Caenorhabditis elegans: one gene and its partners. The protein of the gene in region 1 interacts with the protein of each later gene in a pairwise test. Each region holds a gene or a part of one and is shown on either strand. Other genes may lie near its edges.

Evidence for each region.
Region 2: the proteins of pfd-6 (region 1) and F35H10.6 interact in a two-hybrid assay, tested with the Caenorhabditis elegans proteins (one large-scale study listed by BioGRID).
Region 3: the proteins of pfd-6 (region 1) and eef-1B.2 interact in a two-hybrid assay, tested with the Caenorhabditis elegans proteins (one large-scale study listed by BioGRID).
Region 4: the proteins of pfd-6 (region 1) and B0336.7 interact in a two-hybrid assay, tested with the Caenorhabditis elegans proteins (one large-scale study listed by BioGRID).

What each region holds. Positions count from the first base shown.
Region 1 is NC_003279.8:7,281,612-7,286,182, reverse strand, and holds pfd-6 (putative prefoldin subunit 6), read left to right. Parts: upstream 1-2,420; 5' UTR 2,421-2,442; coding exon 2,443-2,500; intron 2,501-2,547; coding exon 2,548-2,618; intron 2,619-2,663; coding exon 2,664-2,788; intron 2,789-2,926; coding exon 2,927-3,053; 3' UTR 3,054-3,219; downstream 3,220-4,571. Other genes in the region: F21C3.6 (DUF4200 domain-containing protein), read left to right, coding at 421-476, 582-740, 1,636-1,828, 1,973-2,056, 2,155-2,223; rde-2 (SH2 domain-containing protein), read left to right, coding at 3,312-3,547, 3,591-3,741, 3,802-3,951, 3,999-4,097, 4,216-4,275, 4,322-4,571. UniProt on the Caenorhabditis elegans protein: Binds specifically to cytosolic chaperonin (c-CPN) and transfers target proteins to it. Binds to nascent polypeptide chain and promotes folding in an environment in which there are many competing pathways for nonnative proteins.
Region 2 is NC_003282.8:8,297,514-8,302,269, forward strand, and holds F35H10.6 (Spindle and kinetochore-associated protein 2), read left to right. Parts: upstream 1-2,422; 5' UTR 2,423-2,427; coding exon 2,428-2,486; intron 2,487-2,534; coding exon 2,535-2,640; intron 2,641-2,682; coding exon 2,683-2,750; intron 2,751-2,794; coding exon 2,795-3,038; 3' UTR 3,039-3,134; downstream 3,135-4,756. Other genes in the region: nprl-3 (GATOR complex protein NPRL3), read left to right, coding at 1-23, 114-193, 238-313, 368-806, 1,132-1,247, 1,302-1,553, 1,675-2,119, 2,172-2,255; F35H10.5 (Centromere protein X), read left to right, coding at 3,265-3,393, 3,476-3,586.
Region 3 is NC_003282.8:15,034,621-15,040,196, forward strand, and holds eef-1B.2 (putative elongation factor 1-beta/1-delta 2), read left to right. Parts: upstream 1-2,710; 5' UTR 2,711-2,728; coding exon 2,729-2,870; intron 2,871-2,920; coding exon 2,921-3,001; intron 3,002-3,049; coding exon 3,050-4,149; 3' UTR 4,150-4,218; downstream 4,219-5,576. Other genes in the region: fcd-2 (FANCD2), read left to right, coding at 391-1,061, 2,121-2,321; hrpu-1 (B30.2/SPRY domain-containing protein), read left to right, coding at 5,455-5,538. UniProt on the Caenorhabditis elegans protein: EF-1-beta and EF-1-delta stimulate the exchange of GDP bound to EF-1-alpha to GTP.
Region 4 is NC_003281.10:5,694,229-5,701,002, forward strand, and holds B0336.7 (THAP-type domain-containing protein), read right to left. Parts: upstream 3,139-6,774; 5' UTR 3,121-3,138; coding exon 3,112-3,120; intron 3,066-3,111; exon of another isoform or gene 3,063-3,065; coding exon 2,846-3,062; intron 2,684-2,845; coding exon 2,537-2,683; intron 2,406-2,536; coding exon 2,197-2,405; intron 1,924-2,196; coding exon 1,472-1,923; intron 1,027-1,471; coding exon 555-1,026; 3' UTR 501-554; downstream 1-500. Other genes in the region: B0336.13 (Transcription initiation factor IIA small chain homolog), read left to right, coding at 1-106, 221-353; lgg-3 (Ubiquitin-like protein atg-12), read right to left, coding at 3,322-3,405, 3,459-3,551, 3,603-3,782; Regulator of G-protein signaling rgs-5, read left to right, coding at 4,463-4,514, 4,570-4,701, 4,982-5,188, 5,309-5,407, 5,559-6,031.

The DNA of each region.
Region 1 (4,571 bases):
GATACATATTTTGTGTTGGCTCATTATATCATCATTTACTATATATAAAGCGCGTGTCCTTCTGTCCCTATGTAGTTTGATCTTTGATCAGAGCAACGAAATTTTGGGAAACCTTATGCTAAATGCGCAGCAGACATCGATCGAGGTCCGCGATAGACACCGTATATCTAATGTGTTTTCTCAAAAAGTCGGGGGCCGCGCCGTAGGTGCGGTCCACGGCTGGTTTAAATATAATGTATTATATATAGAATGCTTTGTAGACCAACACAGTTGGAAGTAACAAATTATTCCTAACTTTTCATAAAAGTTGAGGTGTCACTTTTCAATTTTGCAATTCATTGGAGTACACGTGAATCAAAATTTTGAATATCTAGTTAAGAAATTTGCAAACTTTGAATCATTTCCGAAAATTAATGCAAAATGGCCAAAAAAACGGGCGGTATCGAAAAAAGAAAAAAGAAAGAAGAGCTCGCTAGGTGAGTTCTTCAGAGGAGGTCGGCACCCATTCGGCGCCAAACTAATTGTCGATCAACGGCAGATGTCCATTTTTAGGACGGGGGACCATCCAATTATCGTTTCAGAACAAAAAAGTCATCGCCATCGTCGTCACCGACAAAAAGTGAACGTGGAGAACGGGAACGTACAAAATGGAGAAAAAAGCGAAGGGAAATTGAGCTCAAGAAGGTAGCTGAACAATTGGAGCAGCATCGTATTAGAGAAGAGGCGGAGCTTGCAAAAAGGTAGGAGTAATTTCCTTTTTTAATTATAAGGAACTTATTTCTTTTGCTTTGTTATTCATAAAAAAATATTTAATTGCAAAAAGTCATGTTTGTTGGTCAATTTCTTCAACCATTTTTACCGATTTTCATAAAACAGGTGGAAAAAAGCAATTTGATATGATAATCGATGTAGGTGGAATGTTGGTTTTTAGCTATTAAATTGAAATGTTTCTCAGAAACATAATCAAATAGGTATATTCGTATTAAAGTGAGGTAAACTTTGATATTTGGCATTACATCACTAAGTTTCAAAACTTTTTTTTTTCCGTAACTTAAAGTTTGGGTAGCATGAATTAATACTAATCTGGAACTATTTAAGATCCCTATAAAATAGTTGGCAACGTTTTGATTGAATTGGGGTTTGTCTTGAAGTACTCGAAAATTTTCAATTTCTGTAGTATCAACAAAGAGCAGCGATAAAAACCTAACGTAAACGCCACGTGGAGCCAGAACGTCTCATTTCGGTTTGATCTACATGAAATGCGGGAATTGAGACGCAGACATCTCATCTGATTTCGCACGGTGAAGAGCGTGCGGACGTCACAATTTTCTGGAACACTATTCCCGCATTTTTCGTAGATCAAACCGCAATGAGACAGCCTGACACCACGTGAAACGCGACTTTCCTAATAAGAACCAATCGGCGACTATCTCCGCCTACTACTGAAACAATCAACGGATGAAGGCGGAGTAGCGTCACTGATTGGTCTGAACGTAGGCGGAGCGAATCCCTTATTGGTCTTGTAGTTTTCACTTTAGAGTGATTGTAAAGATTAGAAAAGTTGCAATTTCAAATTTCGTTTTGTTATAAAATAAAGTGAACATTCTGATTTGTTGAATTTTCAAACAATTTCAGAAAAACGGAAAATCAGAAGAAAGAATTTCGTAAACGCCAAGAAATATTCGAGAAAGTATTTCAAGACGCTGAATCTGGACAAAAAGCAGTTGAGAATGTGATGAGTGATTATCGGGAGTCAAGAAATGCAATCAAAGTGCAGTTATATACCGATTCAAATGATTTTATTCAAACACAACAAATTGAAAAATCGGTGAGTTTATGGTTTCTGTTTTACGATTTGTTTTATGATTTATTAGTATATTTGGATACAGTGTATATTAAATATTTTATTCAATTTTTTTTAGACTTTCAAAAAAGTGGATCAAGGCTAAAACAAAATTGATTTTTTTTCCAGCATTTCAACGCTGCTGGAGACCGACTTCGTTCTTCTGAAATTCAATTATCAAAACTAGAGTCAGAATTGAAAAAGACAAAACAGGTAAGAATATATTTTTATGTTTATAGAACCTAGGGAAATACCCTGAACTTACAAGAAACTTATTTAATTATTGTATATAATTAAGCTAAAACTTTCAGATACGCGAAGAATATTATCAAGATTCCATGCAAAGTTGGTTTTCACGATTCTGGAAATATCTATATTGAAAATATTTCGTATTGTCACTATTGAATGAAATTTTAGCAAAAGCATAACAAAATTGAAGTTAACATATACAATCCAGTTTTGAACTTCCGCCAAAAACGGAAAATGCGTCAAGAAAGCTTGCTGGCGCTTTGAAGGATGGCGCAGAACCCGTTTTTCTTCTAGATTTTTAAACACAATTTTGTTTTCTTTCACTTCTTTTCCCACTAAAAACGATCAAAATGGCTGATATGGCTAAATTCGAAGAAGAAGTTAACAAGCTCAGAACTCTTGAAAAAGGTTAGTAACTGTTAATTTAAACAATCTTTTCAATCGTTTAATTATAGACCGCGAAAAGTACTTCACGAGTCGCCAAGAGATGGAAATGAGATTAACTGAGAGTAAAAATGTGAAAGCGGTAAGAAAAAGTTTGAGATTCAGTTTTCATGTTATCTTCATTCAGGAGCTTGATCTGATGGAATCCGACTCGAAAGTCTACAAACTCATCGGAGCGGTTCTTGTTCGTCAAGATTTGGAGGAGGCTCGATCGACTGTGGAGAAACGGCTTGAGTTTATCGACTCTGAGACGTGAGTTGTAACGTTTATCATGTTTCTTTAGTATTACTTCTTGCACGCTATTGATTTACACGAAACAAATAAAAATAACAAATAAATTTTACCTTTAAACGTTTTAAAATGCAACAAAACTTTAATTACAATTTTCAGCAAACGAGTGGAAGCCAGCATCTCAGACATTTCGAAGAAGTGTACGGAACAGCGAGACAAGGTGATGAATATGCAAAAAAGCTTCCAGATGATGGCTCAAGCAGCAGCCCAAGCACAGAAGAAATAATCCAGTTTGTTCTATGAATCTCATATTTTTTGCTCTTAATTTGTTATTTTTTGCCTATTCTTCATCTCTGGTGTTTCTCCGAAACGAGAAGATCACATTAATTTTTCTATGAAAAAAATAAGTTTCTTGTTTCGGGGAACCATTTACAATAAATGCTTTCAAACTGTTTTATACCATTTGTGCTCACGTCTATGTTAAAAGTCATTGCTAATTACATCAGTTCTGATTTATAACTATATTCATTTTCTTGCTATTCAGATGCATAATGGGTACCATTCTTATTTTCCTCCAAATCACTATTATGCTCAAAGTCAGCCATCATCGTCGTATAATCCCCAACCACAAATTCAACAACCGCAAACCCAAATATATGGATTGGTAGTTGGTTACAATAAATATGGAAACAGAAATTATCTTTTCTATACCAAAAATATCGATGGATTTGTCGAAATCAGTGGAAATATTCAGAGCCTGCAGATAGGACGCTGGCTAAAGTTAGACATTATTTTATCTGATTTTATTAACTAGCAATTTTAGATTAACTGTTTGTCAGAACTTCGTGGGACAATACGTATTGGATTCCTCAAATAGTTGTGGATATGAAAACTGGGACGTTTTGCCGAATCACAGAAATTCATCGGCGAGATTCTTTCCGAAGTATGAGGCTAACGATGAAGGAGAAATTTTGGTAATCTCAAATGGAAAAAGTTTTAATAAATAAAGAGTACGGATTTTTATAATTTTTCAGATAACAGCTCGATTTGATGTAATAGTAGATCGGAAAAATAATTTGTATGATTTCACCAGTTACGATATTTCCTATGATCATATTATTGACGACTTTAGTCTGATCAAATCATCATGTCAACACTATGATGGACGCAGTTTTATTGTTGAAGTAAGTTATCGATTTTAAAAAAAACTATTAAAATAAAAATATTGCAGGCTCAAGCATCTCTGGCAGGTTGGGTCGCATTGAGTGTGCATGAAGATCCACAAAAGCTACACACCTGTGATGCTGTAAGCCGAAATGGATATCAATCAGTATGTGGCAAAAGTGTCCTGGTTCATTTTGAATTGTTCACATTTTGGTTTTTGCTTATCAAAATTTCCCAGAACATATAAGCCACAACCTCCTGCAGTTTACATAATATAATTTCAGCTCCCGAATCCAGTCGTTGATTCTGATGTACAGTATCTTCATGATACAAGACTGTTGGATGTATGTGACTTATAGTTCAGAATTTTTCAAGTAATCACATTTTTAGATTATGACTGGTAATGGATATGTTCAAACACCCGAAACCGACGTACAAGATCAACAATCAAGTCAACATCAAGAAGACGTGCATTCTCAAATGAACTCGCAGACATCTGATTCGTACAATTCCTCTAGAGTTGTGTCAGAGAATCGGGAAATACCTCCGGAAACTTTTCGAAGCCAAAGTATCGAATTGAATCAAGTTGATTCATCCTTGTCCCAGACTACAATCTCAAGTCGAGCAGCACCAGTTATTG
Region 2 (4,756 bases), on another chromosome or scaffold:
TTCGAGAGAGAAAGTCATCTTCAGTGAGTTTTTAAATTACTGAAAATCAATAGTTATTTGTGATCTTGTTGAATAAAGTTCAATTTATCATAAAAATAATTTTGAATTTTCAGTGCTGTGATGTGTTTTCTCACTGGACAAAGCGGCGAAAAGATTGTATCTATTTATCCACATCGAAAACCAGCTACCAAAGGTAATCTGAACAATATAAAATCTCAAAAAAAAAAACATTTTCAGCTCCATCGAAAGATCCACAACCTTCCAGCTCTAATCCAGGACAATGTGTGAAGCCAGTTCTTACAAGTGTCAAAGAGTTCGTTTAAATCCGAATATTTAAATTTAAATATTCAAACGTTCAAAATTTCAGTCCAAGTTATGGTTTCGGACGTGTGGATACAGAATTCGACATGTCTCTCGGAATGCTTGCTTATGTGTTCAAAACTCAAGAAATTGCGTGTAACGATGGGTTCGATATGAAGATCAATAATCAAAGATTCGTTGCATATCCGAAGACATGGAAAGCACGTGGTGAATCCACCAACTATCAGATTTCGATTGTTTTTGCACTTAAAAACGGATGTGAACAGCACACAGCGTCCGCATATCAAACACTTTCGAATAAGATTGCAGTCAGTTTGGTCATGCTCCAAAACTATTTTGGATTTCTGGAACGAGAGGACAAGTGGGCAGATAATGCTGAAGAACCTAATAAAGATCATCCTCTGGAAGAGTTCGCAAAGACTAGTTTCATAGTTCAACCATTGGCTGAAATGTTTGAAGAAGTGCGAAATCGAGGAAATATTCATGTAAGATTCAAATTCTTTTAAATTCAGATTTGTTTCCACTAAAGGTTCTATCAGATTTTGATTACAATATTTATTGTAATTTCGCGATATTTTTGACATGTCATTTCAAAGGAACACGCATTTTTCCCATGGTGGTCTTGTCACGATATCAGGGTGCCAGACTTTACAGATTTGTTCATTTGATGTAGAAAAAAAACTTTTGAAATTTTAAATTCTAACCTGTTCAGAAAAACAGAATTTATCATGTACCATTTAAGCACCTAGTAGTATCACTTTACGCGAATGGATGATAAAATTCAATCTAGACTTAAAAAAACATTTCCAGAAATATCTCATAAATTTTGTGGAACTTGGATTTTGTGATGAAGCACATGCCTTGACGAAGTTAAATGTAGTGCCGAAAGGAAGGCAGGAAATCGATGAAATCGTCAGAAAAATGAAGTGAGTTTTTCCTATAATAACCCATTTTTTGGAACTACAAAAACTATTTTTCAGACCTTATCACGGAATTTTGCTTCTCGAAGATGTGTGGCCAACTCCAGATGCAAATCCGATTGTTGCTAAACTTCTCAGTCATTGTAGTCCGGATCGTTCAATTTTGGATATGTCAACGGCGTCTGGAATCCCGATTTTTGAAGTTTTCATGATCATTCGACACTTACTGCAATGGACACGTGCTATTCTCATTTATCCTTTATGTAATACAAACATCTATACATCTGCAACAAGTCCACAACCTCTTGATAAGTGAGCAATTTTTTTGTTTTTTAAACTATATTTTATAAATTCAAAACAAAATCACTATTTTCATAGAACATTTTGATTAGTCAAGGATTTTATTGTTACATTGAAATTCAACAAGTTACAGAATGGCAGAGAAGTTCACAGCTCAATTCGGCAATACCATTCACTTGGCTGCCGGGCTGGCTCATTTCAATCCCCCAAAAACACTGGATACGTTTATCCGAAAAAACCTTCCTCTACACGAACAGGGAGTTCGTGCGAAGCTTGTCGTTGCTTTGCTTCGTCATCAAATGCTCATGCAGTTGCATCAATTTTACTATATTCTGAAACCGTACTCGATCGCGATCCTACCAGAACCAAAAGAGCCATGTCCCGCTGAGTTTACGAAAATCATCGAGGAAAGCACATTACCAAATGACGTGAAGGGAGTTGTAGCGGATATTTGTGCTGAAATGCTCGAAACTACATCTTATGCCAGTGTCAAACGAACGTTGAGCCTTTTCGTAAAAGTTGCTCCGATGATGGATGGAAATCATCATTTGGAAGAAATCAAATACAAAAATAATTTGGTAAGAAATTGAATAGGGTAAATTCTGCTAATACTGATTAAGTATTTTCCAGGATCGTACAGAAATCGAGGGAGTTTTCGTGTCTTTCAAGCTTGTAATTGCTACATTCCGCCGTCCTGATTTTGTTGCCGAGTAGCCAAGGATCTTTTATTCCGGTTTTTATATTTTTCTCATTTATGTACAAAAAATGAAGCATGATTTTACCCCCTATATTAAATTTGTTTTTTTTTCTGAAAGAGGTTATTGCATAAAACCTACTATTTTTATAAATTTTTGAATACCTTCTCCAAAAAATGTATTCAGCTCAAATGGAAAACTATGTCTCTGCACAGGAAAGATACATGAAGTATTTGGAAGATTTGTCAGAGTGAGTACATCAATCGAATCGGAATAAATAATTGACAATTATTTACAGAAATGTTATTCATCCTAAAATTGCAACTGAGGAGAAGGAATTCAAAAAGTTGCAAAAACAGTGCGAGGAGTATGCAAAACTCAAGTTCACATGTCAACGGCTTCTGGTAAAGAGTTCAAAGTTAGACCTAAATCATCTTTTTTTCTAGAATGAGGCTCCAAAAACAACAGAAGGAAAGACCGAACTGGGACAGAGAGTTTTTATGAATATTGAAGTGTAAGATACTTATTATAACTACTACTTTTATTTTTGAATTTAAGGAGAGACACGAAGCATGTGGTTGTTAAGCTGTGTGACGATGTTTATGTGGAGATGAAGCTTCAAGACGCTATCAAAACATGTGATCGGAAGATGGACAGCTTAAAAAATATGATGGAAAAACTGCAAAAGTCAACCAATAAACTGAAAACCGACTTGACAATGCTTCTTGCCACGATGGATATGCCATATGTGGAACCATTCAGATTCACACTTCCTTCAGACTTCCCGTTTCGAATGGAATAATATTTGAATTTGTTCAATTTGTTTTTTTTTCCTATTTTTCCCAGGTCTCATCCACATTTCCCTACGATTTCTTTAAATAAATAACTTGTTTGTTTCAAATAACGGGATAGAAGATTTTTATTTGAATACAGTAATCCAGTTATAAATTCTCGTTATTATCTACTTCCTGAAATTTCAGACTTCTCGCGTATATCTGTGTAATTAGTAAGATTTCAGAATTTCAATCATGGTAATGCACATCAAACAGTCTACAGTAAGATCGATGTTGATTGTGGCTCGGCGAGGCAAGAAACGGTTGAACTTGGATCCGGATGCACTAGCTGTTCTCACAGCTCTTATCAATTTGCTTGCACAGGTGATTAATATGATTTTTTGAATTTTTACTCTTATTTAAAAAAATTTATTTTACAATTTTTTAAAATAACTTAAAATTTCAGGAGTCGGTAGCTCGAGCCGCACAGTCCGCTGCCAACACTGGAAGCCGCCACGTCACAAAAGAACACTTGAAACGAGTCATCGCTCAGCTAATGCTCGATTTTGCAATCTAAAAAAATCATCTCTTTAACTACCGATCTTCTTGTTTTCTTTATAATTCTGTATAAAACTAACTTATGAAATGTGTTCCACACAAATTGTTTAACCACTTGCGAGTTTGCGAAAAACATGAGTCACAGAAGCCGCCTGATCAGTTCCATTTGATTTTCGTGTCACACAATCATTTCAATCGGAGTTTTAGAATTCAGAGTATCGAATGTTTGTTTTTTCAAAGAAAGAGAATCGGCAAAAAATAGTTGAAGTGGAAGAGCATCGAGACTGACCAATACTGTGGTCATTGTTTGCACACATATTGAGCTCCAACCGGAAAGCAACAGAACAGAGACTTAGTGCAAGTTTGAAAGTCTAAGGTTTTCAAAGTTGAACCTACCCAATTAATTGATACAATCAAAATTTGAAAATTACGATTGTTGTTTCTAAATTCAACTTGCACAACTGAAGTTAACTAAGATCTAATTCCAGGATAAAGTATAGAAAAAAGGTCAGAATCTAAAGTTGTCAGTTTGAAATATGTTTGCTCGGCATTCGGCGACAATTTCTTTTGCCCATAAATATAACTTTCTTCGGAAGTTGGGTAACTTTGGCAAAAGTTGAATTTGTTTAGGCCGCGCCGAAGTTCCGACCGAGTTCAATCCAACATTTCCCCATGTCTTTCCAAAAGCGACACAAGATAAGTTTTGTTCAAAGATTGGCCTTGGTTGAATCAAAGTTTTGTTAAAGCAAAACTTGACAAGAATTTCCACTATTTAATATAAGTTTAATAAGTTAAGTTAAGTTAAGCATAAGCTATGTATAAGTTTAATTTGAAATAGATGCCATCCTGCAATTTGGCATTTTTAGTGGTGACGGCGTCAATCAGTCACACTCGTTGGTTTTTTACTCTTTGATTCAGAAGATACAGTACAGTGGTCGAAGGCGAGAAAAACTGTAGAGAAGAGAGAAATTGAGATAGAATTGAAGTCTAGCATGCGCAGTTTGTATTGTCATCGAGAGACTATTGAAGTTGACGAGACTCTGATCGGGAAGGGGGAGGCTTCGCGCCCCGCGGCCGAAAACCAGTGATTGATCTTCTTTTTGACGATGATCGGAGTAAGGAGTGGAAAAGTCTAAACGGCATTCGGAGGGGATGCTCCTTCTTCCGCTCTTACTCCTCTCTCGTCATT
Region 3 (5,576 bases), on another chromosome or scaffold:
AAAATATGTTTTTCTTCTAAAAAACGGTTAAAAATAGCTAAAATAATGTGTAAATTCTATCAAATGTCATCAATATTTCTTTGGAAAATTAATTTTTCGGCGAAAAAATGTCGATTTTCCGAAGAAATGCATATAATTTTGTTTAATTTCAGAAAAAAAATTTTATTTTTTTTATTTCCATGAAAAAAAACATGAATTTTTCTTCTAAAAAAAACGAAAAAAAAATTCAAATTTCAGCAAAATTTTTGCAGAATGTCTCCGTTTTAAGACGAAAAATAACAAAAAAAAATCGATTTTTTCAGGAAAAATTTCAAAAATTTACTTTTTTCCACACTTTGTTTTCTTCTAAAATTTTCTTCTAAAAAAAAACGAAAAAAATTCAAATTTCAGCAAAATACGCGCTCGCCTATCTCAAAAAAGATTGGAGCAAAGTAGACGAGCTCTGGAGCAAAGGAACTCGCTACACATGTGCAGTTCGTGACATTCTTCACCATTATATTCGTCTTCGAAAGGAAAAAGATCAACTTTTGGCGATTCAATGGATTCTGACAAATAAAGTAGTTCAGCTGGTTCCAGAGGATGATAAACGGAAATCCTGCGTATTCTCACAACAATCTGATGATGATTTATTGGAAAAAGAAGATCGAAAAGCGACATTTTATTGTATTAGTAAAACGACTTTTGGTGTCATTTTTAAAACTTTATTCGGAAATTTGAATTCTCGATGCTTAAAGTATGATATGTCGGCCAGTGCTGCCAAGAATGGAGGTGTCGACATCGAGGATACTCTGGAATCCTGGGAAACTGCTTCATCATGCTTTCTGATCCTTTGCCTTCTCCTTAGAATCAATAAAATCCGAACTACGGCGGTTTTGACGTCGGCTATTAAAGAGGGAAAACAATTTCTGATTACTGTTTCTAAAAAGAGCTCATTCATATTTTTAATGGATAATATTACGAAGGGAACCAATTTCGATACGATTTGTAGAAGAGTTGAGAAGATTTTATCGGCTGTTCAACAGGGAAATCGTGTCTTGCAGAGTATTGGAACTTTTGCAAAGGTTCTTTTTTTTGCGATGGAAAATTCCACGTTCTCAGGATTTGGATTTTCAGAGGAAAATGGATTTTTTTTTTCAGTGTTTCGGGGCAAAAAACAAAAAAACAGGCTTCTTAATTTTTGGATTTTTTAAAGAGAAATTTGATTTTTTTTTGGTCCGAAATTGAAATAAAAATTCTTTTTTTTTTAATTTGTGATGGCGAAAAATAACAAAAATTGAAATTTGTAGAAAAAAATCTTCAAAAACAAAAAAAAATTCGAATTTCGATTTTTTTAAAATGAACTTTTCAGAATATGAAACCCATTAAAAACCACATTTTGCTTTAAAAATTTTTTTTTGTAAAATACGAGAAGTGAGTTTTTGTCCAAAAACCAAGAAAAAAAATTAATTTTGAACCAGAACAGACCGGAAAAAAAAACCATTTTGGACCGAAAAACAATTTTTGCAAAAAATAACCATAAAAATTCATTTTTTACCCAAAAAACCTAAAAAAAACCAAAAATATCCCTTTTTACCCAAAAAAATTAATTTTTCCCAAACCAAATCCAAAAAAAAATTAATTTTTGGTTTAAAAAACCAGAAATACAATAAAAATCCAAATTAAAAAAAAAAAAAACCAAAAAATCCTTAAAAATCAATTTTTGACCAAAAAACTAGAAAAAAAACCTTTAGAAAAAGGAAGAAATAATCTTTTTTTGCCCAAAACAAATCCAAAAAAAAAATCATTTTTTGATTAAAAAAAACCAGAAATCCAAGAAAAAAATCCAATTTTGGCCAAAAAACCCATTTTTAGCCACAAAACCCCCACAAAAAAACCATTTTGCAATTATGCTCAAAAAAACTTTTAAAAAAACCAAGAAAAAATTATTTTTGTCCAAAAAAAATCCAATTTTGTCCGAAAAAAACAGTTTTTTATCAAAAAAAAATCCATTTTTGGCTAAAAAAAACCCAAAAAATTTTATTTTTGCCCGAAAAAATCGAAAAAATTTTCCAGATCCTGAAAACGTGTTACCTCCACTGCAATTTTTTTCTCAAAAAAAAACAAAAAATCTCAATTTTCAGACGAACAAATGCGTGCTTCTTCTCAAAAAATTCCCGGAACTCCGTGCAGAAAGTGAGAATTGCCTTCGAGTAATTCATTCGGCAATGGTGAAAAATGAATGTTTGAATGCATTCACTGTTGGACTCGTCAAAAGTCGAAGTATTGATGGAGATATTATTATGGATCAGCGTGCCAGTGAAATTGACTCGGATTCCGAATGAAATTTTAAAATATTTTAATTTTTCGCGTTTTTAAACGGGTTTTCTCTGTATTTTTAACTTTATTTTATTTTTTCCAAGTAAATTTGTTGTTTTTCGTTCAGAAATTGCATTTAGAAGCTGAGAAACCATGGAAAATCATTAAATCATGATTTAAATCACGATAAAAATAGATTTCGCTTCAAATTTTGAACTTCCCTCCATTAAACTTTAAAGGCGCATGGAGATTCACAGCGCATGGGTCTCGCCGCGCCGTGTTGCATGTGAAGAAATTTTGGGTAATTTTTGCAGTTTTCTAGTATTTCTAGCGCTGTTGTTCGGTTTTTTATTTGTTTTGACGCTCGGAAAATTTATTTATAACTTTATTTAATGTGCCAGCATAGTTTATTATTCAATTTTCAGGTAAAACAATGTCTGTCGAGGGTCTTCTCTCTGAGGTCAAGCACTTCAACGCTCATCATTTGGATGCTGCTCTTGGAGAACAATTGTTCTATGGAGGGAAGCGTGTCTTCTCCGACGTTAAGCCAGGAACTTCTTCTGGTGGTGACCACGGTATTTATTATTATTTTTTATATAAAATGTTTAATATTCAAGTCTTTTAGGATGCAAGGGAGGAAAGAGCGAGCTCAAGGGAGCTATCCACAATGCCAAGCATGCCGCTGATAAGGCTTTGAACAAAGAAGGTAAATTTGGCATTTTCTGAAAGCTAATTTAACGCATTTCTGTTTCAGGAGGAGAGGACGTCTCCAAGCTTCGCGAAGAGCACTCTGCTCTTGCCAAGAAGGTCGACGACTTGGCCAGTCTTGTCGCTGAGCTTCAACTTCAACTCTCGACTCTTCGCCAAGGACAGGTAAATCATCGTCGTCACGTTTTGATTCTTGGCGACGGAAATCTCTCGTTTTCCCTTGCCATTGCGTCGTCAGATCCGGAAACTGTATACTTTGCAACTGTTTTTGATTCGAAAGAACAGTTTTTGAAAAAATACAACGCTCATGACACGTTAAACGCTCTAGACGCTTTGAGCAATGTGATCCTATGTTTTGGAGTTGACGCGACAGATCTGCCGGTTCGCTGGAGCAACATCTTTAACACGGTTATCATGAATTTTCCACACCCTGGCGGTAAAACCAATCTGAGAAAGAGTAAAATTTTGCTCTCCGGAATTTTTGCTTCCCTCAGAAGTATTATGGATAGCCAAGCAGTATTTCTTCTCAGTCTTGCCATTGGACAGTCTGGGCTCGAGAAGGTCTCTGATCCGTGGATGAACGAGCTCCCAAGTCACAAAAAAGATTCCTGGCAGGCAATCTATCTGGGCGCCGAGAATGGCTTCATTCTCGACAGTCTGGAGAGGTTCGATACTGATAGATTCGCATCTTATAGATCTTCCGGTTATAAAGAGACTAAAAAAGGGTTCAATAATCGTGAAGGATTGACATTTTCCTTCAAAAAGTGTGATAATCAGCAGAAGTCTCTGCGCGATTTTCAATTGGCTGAGCCTCCGAGGAGTGGAAAGTTCAAGTTCAACTACTATAGGCCCTTCTACGCCCAGGATCTGTCGATTTTGTTCAAAATCGGTGAGAGCGAAGGAGAGAAGCTCGCCGTGGAGCTCGTAAAATCGATCGCTGGAAATTGTTTAGCTGCGATTTCTGAGATTGAATATCTTCGATCCATCTGCCCAGATCCGCCACTCCCAAATAGGATCTACAGAATTATATGGCACGGCCTCGAGCTTCCGATGGGACGTGAAATGTGCTCCAGAATCCATGAAGAGCTAAGAAATCGGATTGCTGAGGAGATTGTCGCCAATAATCTTCCACTGGTGCTCACCTGAAAGATCTGCTCGTCTTCTGTTAATTTATTTGTTGTATGTTATTGTTATGAAAAAATAATCGTTGAAAAAGTTGCGAAGTTATAGTTTCCGAGGTCCAAAAGCCTTAATTTTATATTTTCCATTTTCTAATACTAATTTTTTGTTTTCAGACCAGCTCCGTCGCTGCTCCAGCTGCCGCACCAGCCGCTGCTAAAGAGGAAGCTGCCGGAGACGACGACTTCGATCTTTTCGGATCCGAAGACGAGGAAGAGGACGAGGAGAAGAAGAAGGTCGTTGAAGAGCGCCTTGCTGCCTACGCCGCAAAGAAGGCCACAAAGGCCGGCCCAATCGCCAAGTCCTCGGTCATCCTTGACGTAAAGCCATGGGATGACGAGACTGATCTCGGAGAGATGGAGAAGCTCGTCAGATCCATCGAGATGGACGGACTTGTCTGGGGAGGTGCCAAGCTGATCCCAATCGGATACGGAATCAAGAAACTCCAGATCATCACCGTCATCGAGGATCTCAAGGTTTCGGTCGATGATCTCATCGAGAAGATCACCGGAGACTTCGAGGATCACGTCCAATCCGTCGATATTGTTGCCTTCAACAAGATCTAAAGGCCTAATCAGTTGTTCTTATATCCATTATTTCTATCTATTGTATTTCAACCTTGTGAATAATTGGTTTATTCGGTGTTTTTCTCCATTTATAGACAATATTAAATGTTTTCATCGGTTAAATAAACGTTCATTAGGTGCAAATTGCGTCAGTTCTTCGTTGAATAAATTTAATTTCCTCCGGTTTGTGAACTCTGGTGCAGTACTGAATATTAAAATCACAGAATTCAACTCAAAAAATATAAATTTAGAGCAAAAATGCTGCTCAAATGGAACACAAAATCGATTCCGCCGTGAGTTTTTCCCCATTTCCCGCCAAAAAAATTCAAATGCACGAAAAACACGCCAAGCGCACGAGAAACGCGTCAGCAACGGTTACAAGTTTCGCGCAAAGCGTCATTTTTCGCGTGATTCAATTTCACAAAGAAATTTCGCGTTTTCAGCCGTTTTTCATCATTTTTTTGCGAGAAAAATGTGAAAATAATTTCCTGTTACATGGGAAATATGATTTTGCGTTGAAATTTCGTTGAAAAATCGATAAAATTCGCGGAAATCTCATTTTATTGTCCGATGGGTCGAGATTTCCCAGTTGCTTTCGCGCGTGAAAGTATCGATTATTTTTCTCGTTGGTGTGAATTAGTTATTCGCTTAATATGCCGCATTTTTCGTAGCATATAAAATTATTTAATTTTCTCAAATTCCAGGCATGCGCGCCTCTCGTCGCAGTGGTGCCAGTGGAACGCTCAACAAGGCCACCGTTCCGTTGCTGCCTAAAAATCGACTTGTAAAGGTAGGAGGAATATTTCAATATAAAATTTCTTCATTAAT
Region 4 (6,774 bases), on another chromosome or scaffold:
CGACACAACTGCTCACTTATCGATATTGTGATAACGTTTGGACGTTTATTCTCAATAATGTCACGTTGAAAGATCCCCAGCGATCGTTTGATGAGCCTATTGATAAGTGAGTGTTTCTTTTATTTGTATTAAAAATAAAAAATCTAGAAAAAAGCAATTGTTTATTAATTTTCTATAAAAATTTTTGTTTCTCGATGATCTATAATTATTAATATTTCAGACTGAAAGTGGTCGCCTGTGATGGTCGTCAAACAAGCCTTCTGCAGACATTGAGCGCCCAGGGACCATCCAAGAGAGTCAATCGAGCTCACGCGGCCGCTGCAGGCGACGATGAAGATGATGACAGTGATTAGATGAACTTTCCAAATCATTGTTTCATTTTCTAATCCAATTTCTTCTCTTACACAAGCTTTCTATTGTATGGGCCCAGCTCATTTCTTTTCTAGATCTCTCACGCTGTCACAGCAAGACCTCCTCTATCTCTCTCAATCCTATAATATATTTTTCGAACGAACAACAATTTATTGATTTGAAAAAATGCAAACAAGGAAAATCTAAACAACAAAACAACTCCCGCAAACACCTCTCCGAATGCATATTGCTCTTGAATCACACGAGATCCGCTTCTGGCAACGCTTGCATTCTTTCTCATCGAGAATGTGCTTTTGAAGATGATCAACCAGACTTTGTGTTGACGAAAAGCTGGTCTTCAAGCATAGATGGCACTTTATTCTGGACTTTTTCGATGGCTTAGGCTTGCGATCCGGATCTTGGGAATATAGTACAGGTGGTTCATCCAAGACATAATTCGTTTCGATCACTTCCTCGGTGATGGGATCTTCGAAATTACCATCATACATCATAATCGGCGGATCCTCTTTCTCATGCACCGCTTCAACTTCTCGATTGTCTCCGGGACGGGTCACGGCATGCCATTCCAGGGAATTTCCACCCTCATCAACGTAGACAACCTCATCGAGAAAATTGGCTTCTCCATTTTGACCGGGAACTGGACGCCAAGATGATCTGAAAAGAAGTGATTAGGAAATCAGAAAAAAATCAAATGCTTAAAGTATATTGTCATTTTTGAAACGATTTGAAAGCCTATTTTAAAAACGCAAACATGTTTCCTCGGCGTGTCTCGCCACGATTTTTGTACTCAAATCTGAATTCAGGTCTTGCCCCGACTGAAACTTTATGGCAACCGTACCCTCCGGTTACGGTAGATTTTCTTTTCTCTTGACAATCGGAGGTTTAAAAAATAAAAATTAAAATTGTGGAAGTGTTTCCCTGTATTACATAGAAAAAATGAATAAAATAATTTTCTCCAACATTATCACTGAAAAACGTTTTAAGAAAAAGTATTGCAAATCTACCGTTGTCATGGGTACGGTAGCTGAAAAATGTTTTGCCAAGACCCATTGATCGAATTTTATCCTGTGAATTCATATTTTTAAAAGAAAAAACATACTTGTAATCGTAGACATTATGAGGTCTACATGCAAAATGATGTCCATTAAATGGATCTCCATTGCTCAAAAATTTATATCCATCGAGATGAATTGTCCGAATGACGTCACGAATTCCACTTTCAGTTTTTGCTTTTCGACAACTCAAACACGCGTAGAATTTCGTATTATTCAAACCATATCGATTAAAATGAAATTCATAATATAAATGTGGTTGAGCAACTGGAGTCATTACTGCAACTTGATGAACATTTCGTGTTTTATGCTTATTAAAAGGCATTCGATAGCGAATTTTGTACTCGACGACTGAAGAATTGTTGGTTGTATCGGTTGATTGCATCATTTCCATTTTATGCTTTACAGCGGGCTCCCATGGAAATGGCTCGGCGAGCCCCGGACGACGTTGTCGATATTTTGGAAGTGCGGTCATTTTCCAGAAGATTCGATCATCGATCTGAAAAGAAATATTAATTCTAAAGAAAAATTCAAAATTCAAAAAACTCGCTTGAAAAATAAAAAATTTCCTGCTATAAACTTTTTTTGTAATATTCAAACTTTTTCACAAATTCAAATTTTCCCAATATCGTTGGACTTGCCTTTTTTGGTTTTTTTTTGTGTTTTTGGCGAAAATGGGTCTTTTGATGTTTTTTTTTGGAGAAACTTTCTTTTTTTTAATTCCGTGCTTTGAGATAATTTTTTTCATGAAATTCGTAGAATTCCAACTAACCATGACAAAAGTGTCGGCTGAGAAGTGATAACAACAGATATATGGTTCTTGTGTTGCACTCTGAAGTACTGTAGCTGGAAGCCGAAAGAAATGTAACCATTGCTCTTTGAGTTCTTCTGATTTTGGCCACTTGAAAAGACGGATTTTTTCGGATTCGGAACGTTGGCAGACGAGACAGGAGGCGCTTGATCCAACTATATTTCGGATTCCTGAAAATTTCAAGGTCATGTTATTTTTTTTTCTGGATTTCCTTTCGCAAAGATTTGAATTTTGTTTCGTTTTTTAGCAATTTTAACCGGATTTTTTAAATAATCAAAATTCCAGTTTTAAATGCACATACTCTTATAATTTTCCTGTTTCTGATTGCCTTCAATTCTGTAAATCTCATGATAAACGAGATCTTCCATTTCATTCTCGTAATAAACTTTTTCAGCTTCAACCATTTCGTGAGCATTGTCTACTTGAACGGCGTTGTGTGGATAGACTTCTGTAAAAATTAATGTTTAATTTGATTTTTCTCAAATTTTAAAAGTTTTTCAAAAGATAAATTGGACCTGGAAGATCAAATTTTCAATTTCCCAAAAAAATGTTTGGAAACTTCAAAACTTGATTTTTTTCAATTTTTCCAGTAGTTCTATAAATAATGAACCTTCGTAGTCAATTTTCATGCTAACAGGAATTTCTTCATGATTGCTCGAAGTTGGCTCCTGATCACTAATATATTCCTGCTGAAACTGCTCGACCGGCTCAATATCCTTTTCATAAATCATCTCGTGTTGCTCCATATCAATCTCAGCTTCTTCCCCATCATCATCCATTTCCTCGTATTCCGACGAATCTCGATCATCCTCATCGTGATCGATTTTCTTAAATTTGAGATTCAATTTTTCAGTTTAAAAAAGTTCTAAGACTTACCTTGCTCATTATCTTTTATCTAGAGATCTGAAATATTTTAAAATTTATTTCCTGTTACTTTCTTTGAGAAGTGGAGATAGCAAGTAGATAAAGACTTGAAAAAACATATTATATTTTTTTGAAAAGTAAAAATGAAATTGTGGTATAAGTGAATTTATTGTGACATCAAGTACATATAATACATTTAAAAAATCCCGCTTCGCATGTTTTTCATCCGTAGGCCGGTGTAATGCTGTACTGAAGCTCCAGAATCTCCTTATCGGTGATTTTCACAGAATAACATCGGGATAGCGTCTGAAAATTTGATTTTTATAAAATTATATCGAGTTTTTCAAATTAAAACTAACCTCAAACGTGGTGTCAGGAGATGGGGCAAATGTGTTATCAATGTACAAGAAGAGTGAGTTGTTGGCTTGAATATTCAGCAGTTTTCGCAATTTCTGGAAGAAAATAATATTATTTTCACATTTTTTAAGAATTTCAATTCTTACCAAGATGAAGGAAGCAACAGTGTCCGTTGGATTCACCACCATTTTCTTATTTTTAAGAACTGGCGCATCTGCGATATTCCTCAGCCTTACGGTCACCTTATCTGACTTTGGTGGTTCGGCGGAAGCTGCAGCGGTGGGTTCCGTATTTCCTGTTGGAGTTGTGGCGGTTTCTGTTTCCATTTTCTGCAAAAAACCCCACTTAAAAAGAAAAAACAAATGGGAATAAAGTATTAGAGCCGAAAAAATTCGAAAAAAAATTTGAATGATAACTACGGTTGCTTTGAAGGAACATACTTAACATTTTGACCTTGGTCTCGCCTGGAATATTGCTATTTTATGGAAAGAACTGGATTTAAGATGTGTTTTTTTAAAAAACAGGGTTTTTAAAATCTAAAAAACTAATTAGCTCGTAAAATTTTAAAAATTCAATAATATTTTACAAAAAAATCTGACACACAAGCATTTATACTTGCTATAGTTTGAAAACTTCAAACGTGAAAAACGCTAGAATGTAAAGGAACACAATCAACTCTGGGAACTTGCGTCTCGACTGGAATTTAAAAAAACCAATTACTATTGTAGTAAAATGGCGGAAGTTTGAATTTCTCTCAGAATATTGAAGAAAATATTTCTTAAACGCTAAAAAAAGGTCGCAGCTGACATATATTTTCTTGCCTCGTTTCTTCGAGTGGTCGTTGACGCGTTTGTCGTGTGCTTTAGAGAAAAGAGACGGAGACGTGCAGACAGGGGGTGCGCAGAAGTTGATAACCCTCTTGTGGACAAAAATAAATCCCTTCTATTTATTTCATAAAGCTCGATTTTCTAAATTTTACTCAGAAAATGTCATAAAATATTGAAAAATGAGCAGTTTTCTCGGGCGACTTCGCCGCAAAAAAGACAAAGAACAAAATGGCAAGTTTCTAAGAAAACCACGTAAGGAATCGATAATCTAATTGAAAAAATTTAGGTCATACTGCCACGTCATCTGACGGAGCTTATCAAAATGGGAATGCTCATAGAGATTCACTTGTAAATGATCATATTTGTATTCCAGCACAGAGAAATTCATTAACAGTTGCTCAACAATCAGCGGATATCGGTGAGTTGATTGTAACTTCTGAGAACACATTTTAAAAATTCTGAAAAACTCGAAAAAATATGAAGTAACCCAATACTAGTTGATAAGTAGGAAAACATTTATAACAGGGCGAAATTGATCAAGAGTCTCGCGTCGTACCCCCGCCCACAAAAGAGGCGTGGCCCAGAGTCAGAGAAAATTGGCAAATTTTTTGATGAAAAAACATATTTTATGTTCACATTATAGAACCCAGATTTCACATGGTCTATAATTCTTATAAATTTTATTGAAAATTTTCCAGGTTCCGGGTCAGATCACGAGGGAATAATAGTGAAGCAAAAGCCTCAATTGGCATTTTCCCTGGATCGACTTCTCATAGATTCGTCAGCTTTGTCATATTTTATCCAATACCTTGACTCAACTGATAAACTCAATTTAATCAAATTTTGGATGCACGTTGAAGGATTCAAATCAAGTTTTTCAGAACAAATTCAGGCTGCACAAGAGTGTGAGTTGGATTTTAATATATTTTCATATCTAAAAAATGTCAATTTGATTGGTACGATCCACTTGTGCCCCCAATTTTTAAGCAATGACCTGAAAAAATGATGACTTTTCAACTTTACAGTATCCCTTCGAGATGCCAAAAGTATTTATGACAAATATATTGATGACGGTTCAACAAGTTCACTAGCCTTGCCACGGAAAATAAAACAAATTGTAGATGGTAGGCCATTCACAAAATTTAAAAATTAAAAATAAAGTGGAATAAAGGGGGTTATTTTTCTCTAGCACTTCTGAATCTTTATCAATTTTGGAAACTTTAAAAAACAGATTATGCAACAATTTTATTGAAGATAAACTTTCTTTATTTTCAGACAAATTATCTGCGTCTCCACTACAAAAGTCTTGTTTTGATGAAGCTCAGGATTTTGTGAAATCTCTATTCGAATATCGATATTTTGATGAATTTCAGAATAGTGTTTATTATAAGAAACACGAGTTGGAAGTACTTTCTGATGGTTGTAGTCTGGCAGATATTCTGAAAGTTCAACCATTGCTTCTATCATTTTTGGAATTTATAAAAGAGAAAGAAGATCATGATACTATTCAATTTCTATTAGGATGTGATAGTTTTGAGGCAAATTTGGATTTAATGGAAGATTCTGAAGCACTTGGAGATGCAATGGCACTTTATGAAAAATATTTTTCAATGCAAGCAACAAATATGATTGATTTGGGATCAGCAATTCGTGCAGAAATGGAATCTTTGATTTGTGAAGAATCTGGAAGACCGAATCGAAAAGCTTTTCGAACTGCAAAGACTGCATGCTTTTTTAGGCTTCATGATGTAAGTTACACCTAAAATTGAATGTGTACATTCTCTCTTCTCATTTTAGTTGATTTTTTTTTTCAAAAAAAGCTGAAATAACTAGGCGGCCACTGTGGTTTGTGAACCAATAGCATCACTTAAAAACAAACCTGGCAGATTTCCAAACAGAGTGAAAAAATGTGAATCATTCTTTTAGAAATAATAAAATTGATTTTTTTTGAAAGTTTTTATAGCCAAAAATACGAAAAGCGTATCAAGTTCCACATTGTGAGAGCAAAAGCCTTTAGTTTGCTTACACATATTTTTGAAACTCGGAAAATGAGATCCCTCCATATTCTGGACTATTCTTTTTGAAGATTAAACTATATTAAAAATTATATCAATCGTGTCGAGACCTAAAAGACTAATCGTTGTTCTTTCATAAATTTTAGACTACGAAACCAGAAAAAAATATTCATGAAACCAATTTTTCAAAAACCGATTTCTCTACTTTTCTATTCCGCTACTCTATGTTTTCCCTCACAAAGGAATACAAATTTCTAGAAAACTCTCTCTTCTATAAATTTGGAATTTTTCATGATATTCATTTTTAGGTTAGAATACATAAGTGATTTGGAACTCTCCACCTTTCAAAACTTTTTTATTTTTATTTTCTCCCCTCTTCTTCCAAAATTCTCACTCAACCGCCCGTTTTCACAAGTCACGTTATTGTTCGCGTACAGAACAGCCCCTCGTTAAAAGTGTCCTGAAGCTCTCGGCTG